Linked DNA regions of Drosophila melanogaster. The protein of the gene in region 2 interacts with the protein of the main gene of each other region in a biochemical or structural test. Each region holds a gene or a part of one and is shown on either strand. Other genes may lie near its edges. The genes, in order: Taf4 and btd.

What was found.
Region 1: the proteins of btd (region 2) and Taf4 form a complex in vitro, tested with the Drosophila melanogaster proteins (one study listed by BioGRID).

What each region holds. Positions count from the first base shown.
Region 1 is NT_037436.4:16,111,431-16,116,522, forward strand, and holds the start of Taf4 (TBP-associated factor 4), read left to right. Parts: upstream 1-1,781; 5' UTR 1,782-1,935; intron 1,936-2,359; exon of another isoform or gene 2,360-2,454; 5' UTR 2,455-2,711; intron 2,712-2,877; exon of another isoform or gene 2,878-2,881; 5' UTR 2,882-3,041; coding exon 3,042-3,413; intron 3,414-4,238; coding exon 4,239-4,400; intron 4,401-4,601; coding exon 4,602-5,092. Other genes in the region: Zn72D (Zinc-finger protein at 72D), read right to left, coding at 1-439. UniProt on the Drosophila melanogaster protein: TFIID is a multimeric protein complex that plays a central role in mediating promoter responses to various activators and repressors.
Region 2 is NC_004354.4:9,692,595-9,698,369, forward strand, and holds btd (buttonhead), read left to right. Parts: upstream 1-1,591; 5' UTR 1,592-2,079; coding exon 2,080-2,813; intron 2,814-3,252; coding exon 3,253-4,453; 3' UTR 4,454-4,964; downstream 4,965-5,775. UniProt on the Drosophila melanogaster protein: Required for the development of the antennal, intercalary and mandibular segments of the head.

The DNA.
Region 1 (5,092 bases), on a different chromosome or scaffold from region 2:
CTGTATCATAGCCACTGTAATTGTTGCCCGCCGGAGGAGCCGAACTAGGGGGCTTGGGACCACCGTTCGACTTGTCCATCTTGCCCTTGACCTGATTCTTGACTGGCGGAGCCGAGTAGTGCGTCTTGCTGACCGAGGCTGTCGAACCGGAGGCGTTGTAGCTGGCCGGCGACTGCTGATAGAATGTCTTGGTGGCGTCGTATTGCATGGCACTTCGATAGTCGCCGTAGCCACCATAACCCCCCGCCCCAGGGCCAGAGGTGGCGCCAGCGCCCGCTCCTGCTGCTCCGCCATAACCACCCTGTCCGGCGGCCACAGCGGCATTCTGATAGGCGGCCGCATTCGCGTAGGTGGCATTGGTTACCGCCGGGTACGAGACTTGGCCCGTATTGTACTGGGTGCCGCCGTAGTTAAACCCGGCGTAGTTGTTGTTGGCCATTGTCGCGGTGCGCTGCAATTACGAAAATCGAATTTGTTTGACAATCTGTCTGCGGTTTACTAGTTTACCATTGGCATTTGCATTTGCATTTTGGACCTGCCCCCATCCCCACCAAGTGCTCTACTTACATTAGCTGTCCTATCCGACTGACTGTCAATATTTATGGGACTTCGAATGCGGATTTATTCGGGAATTTATATGTGCTTTCCGAGTAATAGCCTGTTTATAGCTGTAAAAGCAAAGTGGTCTTAGTCACGTCATGTTGAGAAAGGAGCTCCCCCCACCACTTTCCCATCCGTTTTTCATCTGCTTTTCTCTATCGATTTTTACCCCGCAGCTTTGGACGCACTTTTCGCGTGTCTGGCCCACATGCGAGTGAGCACACGTGGCGATCTCTTTTCCAACGGCATTTTAGCCCTAGTTGTGCATGGTTAAAAAACAGTTAATGCAAATGGCAATTACCTGAAATCGGTTAAATAAAATTTTTCTTCCGTCTCTATGGGCCGGTACTAGTGTGACCGCAGCGTAATCGGATAATCATACTATGTTGAGCCCGACTTGAAACAAATACCACTTTTTATTTTTGGAAGTTTTTGGAAAATATACCATTACACTATATATGTTGCTTATTTAACGGAATTTGTTTAATATTAAAATTGGTATGGTCTATTTTATTAAGACCGCTATTTGTACGATATGTATTTAACTCGCTCTACAGAATTATTTTGCCCGTTGTGCTGAAGTTTAGCATTTCAAAGATACCGAAAACTAACAAAAATACCATCACGTTGGTGGTGGGGCATGTAGTTCGGTATCAAAGTGGAACTATCGATTGTTTGACCGTTACAAAGTACTACTCCTTCGTTTGAATATATATATGATTTAAGTATATGAGCAAATAGCGTTTAAATATAAAAAAATAATAACATTTTTGAGCATTTTCTTCAATTCTGTAATTACCTAACATTCAGCTTTAAACAGTACTCTAATAATAGTTTTAGTAGTTTCTAATTTTTGAGCGTATTCTTCATTTATTCAATTACCTAACATTCAGCTTTAAACAGTACTCTAATAATAGTTCAAAGGATTTAAAATGTATCGTATTCGAATGTATTAAAATAAATTATTTTGATCCTTAAAAATTGTGGCTTATTACCCATATAAAAACTAATGAGCATATAATTAATTTGGTATGCGGCTAAAATCCGATGGCATCAAAATGCCAGCAAACGTTTTTGGTTTTGAAAATGTACGCAACAAGGCTATAAAAAATCGACATGATATCCAAGTCACTACTTCTTTTCTAGTATTTTAATTCGGTATCGCGTTTAACACGACGATATTGTCGCCAACGGTCACACTGCACAACTCGTCCGTACCTCGGCGGTCCGTAAACAATATTTACTCGGTTTTCGGCTAAATCGCCAGAGAAACGCAACGGGAAATCGTTTAAAATGCGCCCCAGTGCACCGAGTTTGAACGCAAAATGAATTGAAGTGAGTGCATCTGCCACAGGGCCCAGAAAATTTCCCCCGACATTGCAGGCTGTACAAAACCTATACTGAAACACACGCACACAGTCGCACAGACACGGACGTGGGTTTATGCCACCACCCGCTGGCCACTAAAGTAGAAATTACTAATACTACGGCTGGCACGATGCTCCATATTGCCACTGGAGACATGTACAAGATGCATTTGTTTTCTTTTTGTTTTAAATATTTTTATGCGGATTTTCGAAAAATATGAATTTTTCCTAATAGAAATCATCAATTATTAAGTGCTCCACTTTCGAGTTGAACTTTTTTTTAAATTTAGTGCATTCACGAATATTGCGCACTCGCCACCCGCATAAACGAGCGGCATTGCCAGATCGTTGGTTACGTGTTTTTCGCACGCTATCTGGCAACGTCCACCAGCCTCGATTTTCGCTTTGCACGCGCATTCGTGAAAATGGCGGCGTTCTGGCACCGTCGCTGCCAAATTTTTTGTACATCAAAATAATCAAAATAAAGCATTCTTCCAGTGCTCAACAATCAGTCCGTGCGAGCACGCGCGAGTGTGTGTGTGCGCAGGAAAACCCGCCGATCGGGAAAAGTGTAGAAAGGCTTAGCGGCGCAAACAAAAGGCAGCGAATTAGCGAGATAACACACACGCGACAACGACTGCAACGGATGCGCCAGGAGAAAGGCCGACGACAGTGACGGCAAAGGCGAGTGCGAGTGAGCCAGCGCAGCACCAATTCAGCGGAGCACCCGCTTTTTTGGCCAAGGTGAATGCGATTACCTGTGCGCGGCATCCAGGTGTACGCAGCATCTGGTTTATGGCGCACGGCCGCCAGGTAGCCGGCGGTCAGGTAGCACCTCCACCGCCTACCTGTTTCTCCACCGCCTCGAGCCGAATCTTGTATAAATACTAAAAGCGCCTCCCCTTGCATTGCAGTTCGCTTCTGGAGCGCACAGCATGCAACAACTCCGCCAACACCAACACAGGATGTGCGCAACTAGTTGATCGGAACAGGATCGCTCGCCCACACCAACACACAGAAGTCAGTGGAATAGGAGAAACACACTCGCCAATAACATAAACACCACACAGCACGATGAACACCAGCCAGACAGCTGCCGGCAATCGCATCACCTTCACCAGCCAGCCGCTGCCCAATGGCACCATCAGCATAGCCGGCAATCCCGGCGCGGTCATCTCCACGGCCCAGCTACCGAATACCACCACCATCAAGACGATCCAGGCGGGGATCGGTGGTCAGCATCAGGGACTTCAGCAGGTGCATCATGTCCAACAGCAGCAGCAGTCGCAACAGCAACAACAGCAGCAACAGCAGACGCAATCCGTAGGTGCCACCCAAACACAAACCCTAGTTATTAAATCCAACCACCATGCTGTCACCCTGCCGGCGGGTCTAGTCTCAAGTGCACCAGCAGGAATCGTAACCATGACCAAGACCATCAATCAGGTATCCATATTAAAGCTAAACCCACTCTTCGGGCGCTAGGCGATCGCAACTCGGGCGTATCACTTCGTCCAAATCTGATCCCCAATCAAAACCCCCTCAATTCCTCGCTCGAATCGGATAGTAGTGGCCGCACACACTTTGGTTGTATACTTTTATTATGCTTTCATCTGTCTACCTCGCTGCCCGAAATTCCCATATCCTTATCCAAATGGGGTTAGTCCCAGGCTTGATAACGTATTTTACGCTTAAAAAATATCCTTAATTCATTAATGTGAAATCTGAAACTTATATCTGAGTTGAAATCTGAAACTTATATCTGAGTTTGTTGCACTCATTTTTGTACTTTTATTTAAAATTAATTTCTTTTTTTACGAATGTCATATCAATTCACTTCATTAGAACTTAAAGCAGTTTAATCACCATAAAAGACATATCTTTAATTTGAAATACTTTATCCCAATGCCGAAAAGTTTCCCAAAGATCAAATCCCTAACAACTGTTCAAAAACACGCACTTGTTCAACAGAAACCTTATTCTACACCAATATCCAAACCATTACATTTGTAGAACTATTGCTTTCAATGCTCGCTTTAAATAGAACAAGATATAGTAGATTATACGCCTTCAAATTTGGTTAGCACAGAGAGAATCAGTTAAACAACTTATTTCCGCACTAATTGGGGTCCTTTGCCGAGCCAACTGCTGCATGATGTAGGCTAATTTAGAATCCCGCAAAACCTCTTAATGCATCCTTTGGTCCAAATAGACTTTGAAAATGTGATGAGATGAATTGATAGACTAATGATAATGTTGCGTATTTGCCAGGCCGGTCAACCGCTGCTCAATTCAATGCTGCCGGCTGGCGTGGTGGTGGGCATGCGCCAACAGGCGCCGTCACAGCAGCAGCAGAAGAATGTGCCCACCAACCCGCTCAGTCGCGTGGTGATCAACTCCCACATGGCGGGCGTGAGACCGCAGAGTCCATCGGTGAGTATGAAGGATAATATTGCTATTACTATGGTTGTTGTGGTGGGTTCTTCCCTACTAACTCACAGAGCTCCCTAACCCAGCCACGCTCCTCACAAACACGCATGTGCACAGCCCACCATTCACTCACACCATACACCATACACACCATGCTCCAGCAGATGAAAACCGAGTCTCTCTGTCTTCTCTCTCTACTTTTAGATAACTTTAAGCACACTTAATACGGGTCAGACCCCGGCATTGCTGGTCAAGACGGATAACGGATTCCAGCTGTTGCGCGTGGGCACGACGACGGGTCCGCCGACGGTGACACAGACTATAACCAACACCAGCAATAACAGCAACACGACAAGCACCACAAACCATCCCACAACCACACAGATCCGTCTGCAAACTGTGCCGGCTGCAGCTGTAAGTAGATACCAACAACAACAACAACATCAGCAGCAATCGCAACAGCAGCAACAATCGCAACAGCAGCAACATGCAACCAGCACAACCGCCAGCACTAGTATTGCACTGCGCAAAACGATTGTCCGTACATCATCCACAGTCCCATCCAGCAATAATAACAATAATAGTATCAATGCCACCACCAACACCACCACCACCACCACTACCAACAACAACAACAAACCCGCTACTAACCAGCAACAGCAGCAGCAGAAGCTCCAACAGCAGCAACATCTGAA
Region 2 (5,775 bases):
ATGGGTAGCTTAAGAGTCGAGATGCACTTCCGTGAGCTTGTTCCGTTTTGGGAGTCATCATTATCTTTTCACAGCAGCAGCAAGTCGTAAAATTTGTGGCTCAGACCCACGTTGCGTATGCGTAATAAAAAAGACGCCGCGTAATAAAAAGGGAGCGAAAACAACAACAGCAACAGCAATTGTGATTAATATGCGGCACACAAGCATACACAAACGCACGCACACACGAAACGGGCGCAGGCCATGCGAGAGAGAGAGAGCGAAGGAGAGAGCTGCTGTCTCTTTTGTGGTGGTGTTTGGTCAACGCCCCTTTAAATACAGTTATTTCATTGGGCCGCGACCACAAATTTATTAGTTTTTATTGTTATTGTATTGATATTTGAATTATGCACGCTCCCTCTTCGTCTTCTAACGTTACTTTTTATCATTGGGATCCTCTGGAGAAAAATGCCATTAAACAGAAATTTTAATTTAATTAAAGTGATGAGCCATACTTCTTTCTCTCTGTCTGCTTACTTTCATCGAAACAAATTGATGGTCTGAGTGGGCAAGGGGATAATGAGAATTTAAGCAGATATTCGTGCTTTTAATGACGGTACTTGAAATGTGTAAAATGTCGAGTAATTTATGGGCATTAAAAATCGGTCGGATATATGTAACAATACCTATATTTTGTGTGTACTTAAGGTTTATATGAGAAATTTAAATGTTTAAAATTGAAAATAAAAACTAAATTTGTAGTTAGAAACTATCTCTAAGTTAGCAGACTTAAAAAAAATTAATACAATTTTTCTAAAATATTTGCTAAGCTCTTTATTTTGAATTGCAAAGGATACGTGAATACGTTATTTATTTTATACACATTTTGAGGGGTTGATAGGGTTAAAATAAACATAAATTATGGAATATATAGATTAACCAACTAAATAATAAAATATTTCAAATACTTCACTAATCAAATATTTCAAATACTTCACTAAAAATGCTAATAATGTAAATTATTTACACATATTCTTAAATACAAACTTTGCATTAAATTTAAGCCAACATTTTTGGCTTAAAGTTTAGATATAACCAACAATAACAACAAATATAAGCATTTTGAGCACTAGCTGAAACGACAACAACAACAGCAACAACAAAACGCATGCTCACCCAATTGCTTTGACACACAAACCCACACATAGAAATTAAAACAAAACGCCCGCGGCAGCAGCGCCAGCAATAACAACACTGCAACAGCAACGTGGAGAGAGAGCACCATACCGCAAGAGCGAAAGAGAGAGAGAGAGTGAGCTAGCTACGGAGAGTGGCTGCTGCTGCCGGGAGTGACACTTCCGCGCCACACGTGCAAGCGAGACGAAGCGAGTTGCCCCGAAGGCACACCGTTGCGGCCAAAAACAACCACCATGATGGTGCCGAGAGCGAGAGAGAGCGAGAGCTGGCTCAGCGCTCAGTGGCGATAGACGAGTGCGAGAATGTGACAGCACGAGCAGCAGCAGCGCTGCCGCTGCCCTCTGCCCGCGCCTCTGCCCGCAGCCAAGTGGATTCGTTTTGTACGTTGTTAGACTCTCTCGCCGCGTTTTGGAATTCAGTCGACAATCGACGATAATTACCGGTGGTTGTATCACATCACATCACGCGCAGCAGCAGCAGCACTACGAACGAAAGAAGAAGAAGCAGAAGAGCCAGCCGCAGTGGCAGCAGAGAAACTCGCTCGTTTTCGGATCTATATATATATATATGCATATAGATTTGTATATATAGAGGGATATATATATATATATATTTGCACGCAGCATTGGCGAATTTTCGGCCGCCTTTAATTTGTTTGTGTTTTTTCCGTGTTCTCCTCCGCGTGCTCGCAATTACGTGCGCGGCAGCAAAAGACTATAATTATAAAACTAAAGTGAAAAGCGTGCCATAATTACACGAGCGAATATCAATAAGTGCAAGAGCAATGTGCGAAAATTGTTAACGAACGCAGTAGCAACCAGAAGCAGTAAAACGCAGCAGCAATCGCAGCAGTAGGATCCAAACAAATCTCAGCGCAACATTAAAATCGCAAGCGTTTTCAACATGATCGATGCGGCCTGCAATTACTTAAATCCCTATGCGCAACAGCATCAGGCGCAGCAGCAGCAACATGCGCAACATCAGCAACACGCGCAACAACAGCAACATCATCTGCACATGCAGCAGGCGCAACATCATCTGCACTTGTCGCATCAGCAGGCGCAACAGCAGCATATGCAACACTTGACACAGCAACAGCAGCAGCAGCAACAACAACAGCAGCAACAGCAGCAGCAACAGCAGCAACAACAACAGCCGCAACAGCAGCAACATGACTTCCTCAGCGCCGCCGCCCTGCTGTCCGCCCCACCATCCCTATCCGGCTCGAGTTCCGGCTCCAGCTCCGGCAGTTCTCCGCTATATGGAAAGCCGCCAATGAAGCTGGAACTGCCGTATCCACAGGCCTCATCCACGGGCACCGCATCGCCCAACTCCAGCATACAATCGGCGCCATCATCGGCCTCCGTGTCGCCCAGCATCTTCCCATCACCTGCCCAGTCATTCGCCTCCATTTCGGCTAGTCCATCCACGCCCACCACGACCTTGGCGCCACCAACAACGGCGGCAGCGGGCGCCCTAGCGGGATCACCCACATCCTCCTCACCATCCTCGTCAGCAGCATCGGCTGCAGCGGCGGCAGCAGCAGCTGCGGCGGCAGCAGCGGACCTTGGAGCAGCGGCGGTCGCCAGTGCCGCCTACGGCTGGAATACCGCCTACTCCGGATTGGGGCCAGCGAGGTAAATATCCCTATATATAGGATTTACAGAAGTTGAGTTGGGAATCATTCGTAAGAAAGAAACTTTAAAATGCTAGTGATCAATAAATCAAAGCTTATAGATCATCAAATTTGTGGTTATTAGGGATACACTAATTTCGATCTGAATTAGATCTCCTTTTAATAGAATAACTACAGGCTGATTGTATTTCGATCATGAGCGAGATAAAGACATATATCTTTTGCAAATTATACAGTTTAATACATAGGAATATATTAATCAAATTATCCCGAAGATTGAAATGGATTAGCATACAAATAATCTCATAAACTTATAAAATGATAGGTACCACTTGAATACATTACAATTTAGTATTCCGATAGCAGGTGTACCCATTAAGTAAATGATTAAAAAAAACCAAATTAACCATTCTCTGTCTTCATTTCTTTTCTCCATCTAGAAGTCAGTTTCCATATGCCCAGTACGCCTCCGATTATTACGGCAATGCGGTGGGCATGTCCTCCTCGGCCGCTTGGTTCTCGCATCAGGAGCGCCTCTATCAGCCATGGAGTTCACAGAGCTATCCGGGCTTCAATTTCGACGACATCGCCTTCCAGACGCAATTGCAACGCCGCTCCGTTCGCTGCACGTGTCCCAATTGCACCAACGAGATGAGCGGCCTGCCACCGATTGTGGGTCCGGATGAGCGCGGACGCAAGCAGCATATCTGCCACATTCCGGGCTGCGAACGGCTATACGGTAAGGCGTCGCATCTGAAGACCCACCTGCGCTGGCACACCGGCGAGCGGCCCTTCCTGTGCCTCACGTGCGGCAAGCGTTTCTCCCGATCGGATGAGCTGCAGCGGCACGGACGTACGCACACCAATTACCGCCCGTATGCCTGCCCCATTTGCTCCAAGAAGTTTTCGCGCAGCGATCACCTCAGCAAGCACAAGAAGACCCATTTCAAGGACAAGAAGAGCAAGAAGGTATTGGCCGCCGAGGCCAAGGAGCAGGCGGCTGCGGCGATAAAGCTGGAAAAGAAGGAGAAGAAGTCGGGTAAGCCACTGACGCCACCCGTGGAATTCAAGCAGGAGCAGCCGGATACGACACCGCTGGTCAACTATGCGCCCTATGCCAATCTCTATCAGCATTCCACATCCGCCGGATCGAGTGTGAATCCTCCGCCGCCACCGCCGCCGCTCTTCCAGCAGCAGATGACGACGACAACATCATCGGCGGCGGCCAGCTTTGTGGAGCAGCCGTGGAGCAGTAGCAGCAGCCGTGCCATACAACCAGCCACTACCTCAGCCAGTTCATCCTCATCCTCCAGCGCCAGTTCCCCAGCGGCAGCGGTCGTTTCTGCCATTGGATCTGCATCTTCCCCAGCCGCATCAGCCACGGCGCTGGCCCAGCATCATTATGCCGCACTTGCCATGCAAAGTGAGTCCCAGCTGGCGGCGGAATATGGGCTAACCATGAGCGGATTGGCCAGCGGAGCTAGCCAGGATTCCAGCTCCAGTTGCCACATGAAGTCCGAGTATGCGGCCAGTTATCCGGCTGATTTTGGTGCGGGAACAGCCAGTTACGGTTATCCGCATCCACATCCGCACCATCACAATGCGTGGGCAGCGGCCTATCATCCACATGCCACCGCCTAGGATGTCCCCGATCCTTCCCAAAATTGTTACAGTTGAAAGTTGATGAAACAAATGCCATAATGTCCCAAAACCCAGAACGGCAACAAAGCAAGCGTAGAACGAAAATCTAGTGTGTGTTTTTTTTTCAGTGTTTATTGTTGATATAAAAATATAATGTGAAAATCAAAAAAAAATTTGAATTCACAAAATACCGTATAAGGCATTATATAATATTATATAAATATATATATATATATATACATACACATATATTAACTATACATGTAGAGACTAGAACTTGAATTTTTTTCATTTTTTTTCCCCCAATCTAGTAGCTAAGGCATTTTTTTTTGCATGTCTGTACATACAAACATATATAGCGTTCTTTTTAAGCCATACCATATAGAATGAGAGAAACCATCTAGTTGTGTACCATAATAATTGTTAATTGTCTTTAAGATAAATTATATACAACAACAAAAAGTGAAAAATCCAAGGCGACAAAATCCCCACACTGAAATGAAATCCTAACAATAAAAAAAAAAAACGAACAAAATAATATCGGAAAACAAAGCGAATCCAGTTTTTTATTATTCTCTCCGATCCCGACGCACCCTTGTTAATGGGTTCCTGGCTTGGTTAGATTTCAGGGTTGTTTGATCTCCGCCAGGGGTTGCTTTCTTGCATATAAATCGAGGGATCCAGGAAGCTTCCCGACTTCCGGCGAACTTGATCTGCTTTTGGGTGCTGACCTTTGGCGGTATTTGGATAATAATAGAAACTTTTTCAATAGCAATCATTATAGCTGTCTGCATTTCTAGTTATAATTTCATCAACGTCGGCCATCGCTTTAAAATTGCAAAAACATTGTTAGCTTGGGAGATGTACATCATTTATAGATTGCTTTACTTTAAAATGTGCATAAATAAAGGTACGAATGTGATATGTATATATCCTTAAATACAATGATTTATTTAGTCAAGATACACATAGTTGTAGAATTTCATAACAATCGGATGTGATTTAATAGTAGTTTTTCTCACTAAAAGCGGCTTACCACTTTTAGATCTCTTCAAGATTCCAGATCCCCGGTCCTTTTCCTAGCTGCGAAATTAATTTAATCCCATTTCCCGCAGCTCAGCATCTATACCCCACACCCACCCCCCTTACTTCAACTGGGGATCATAACTCACAAGGGGCACATATTCAATCTTTAGGCAACCAATGAGAGTCAATTTAGCTCGAGCGACTATCCCACTTTGGCCAGCCCAAAATGAATTGCCCAACACAGAGTTTATAATTAAACGGGAAACATTTTGTCCCAGCAGAATAAGGGGGGAGGG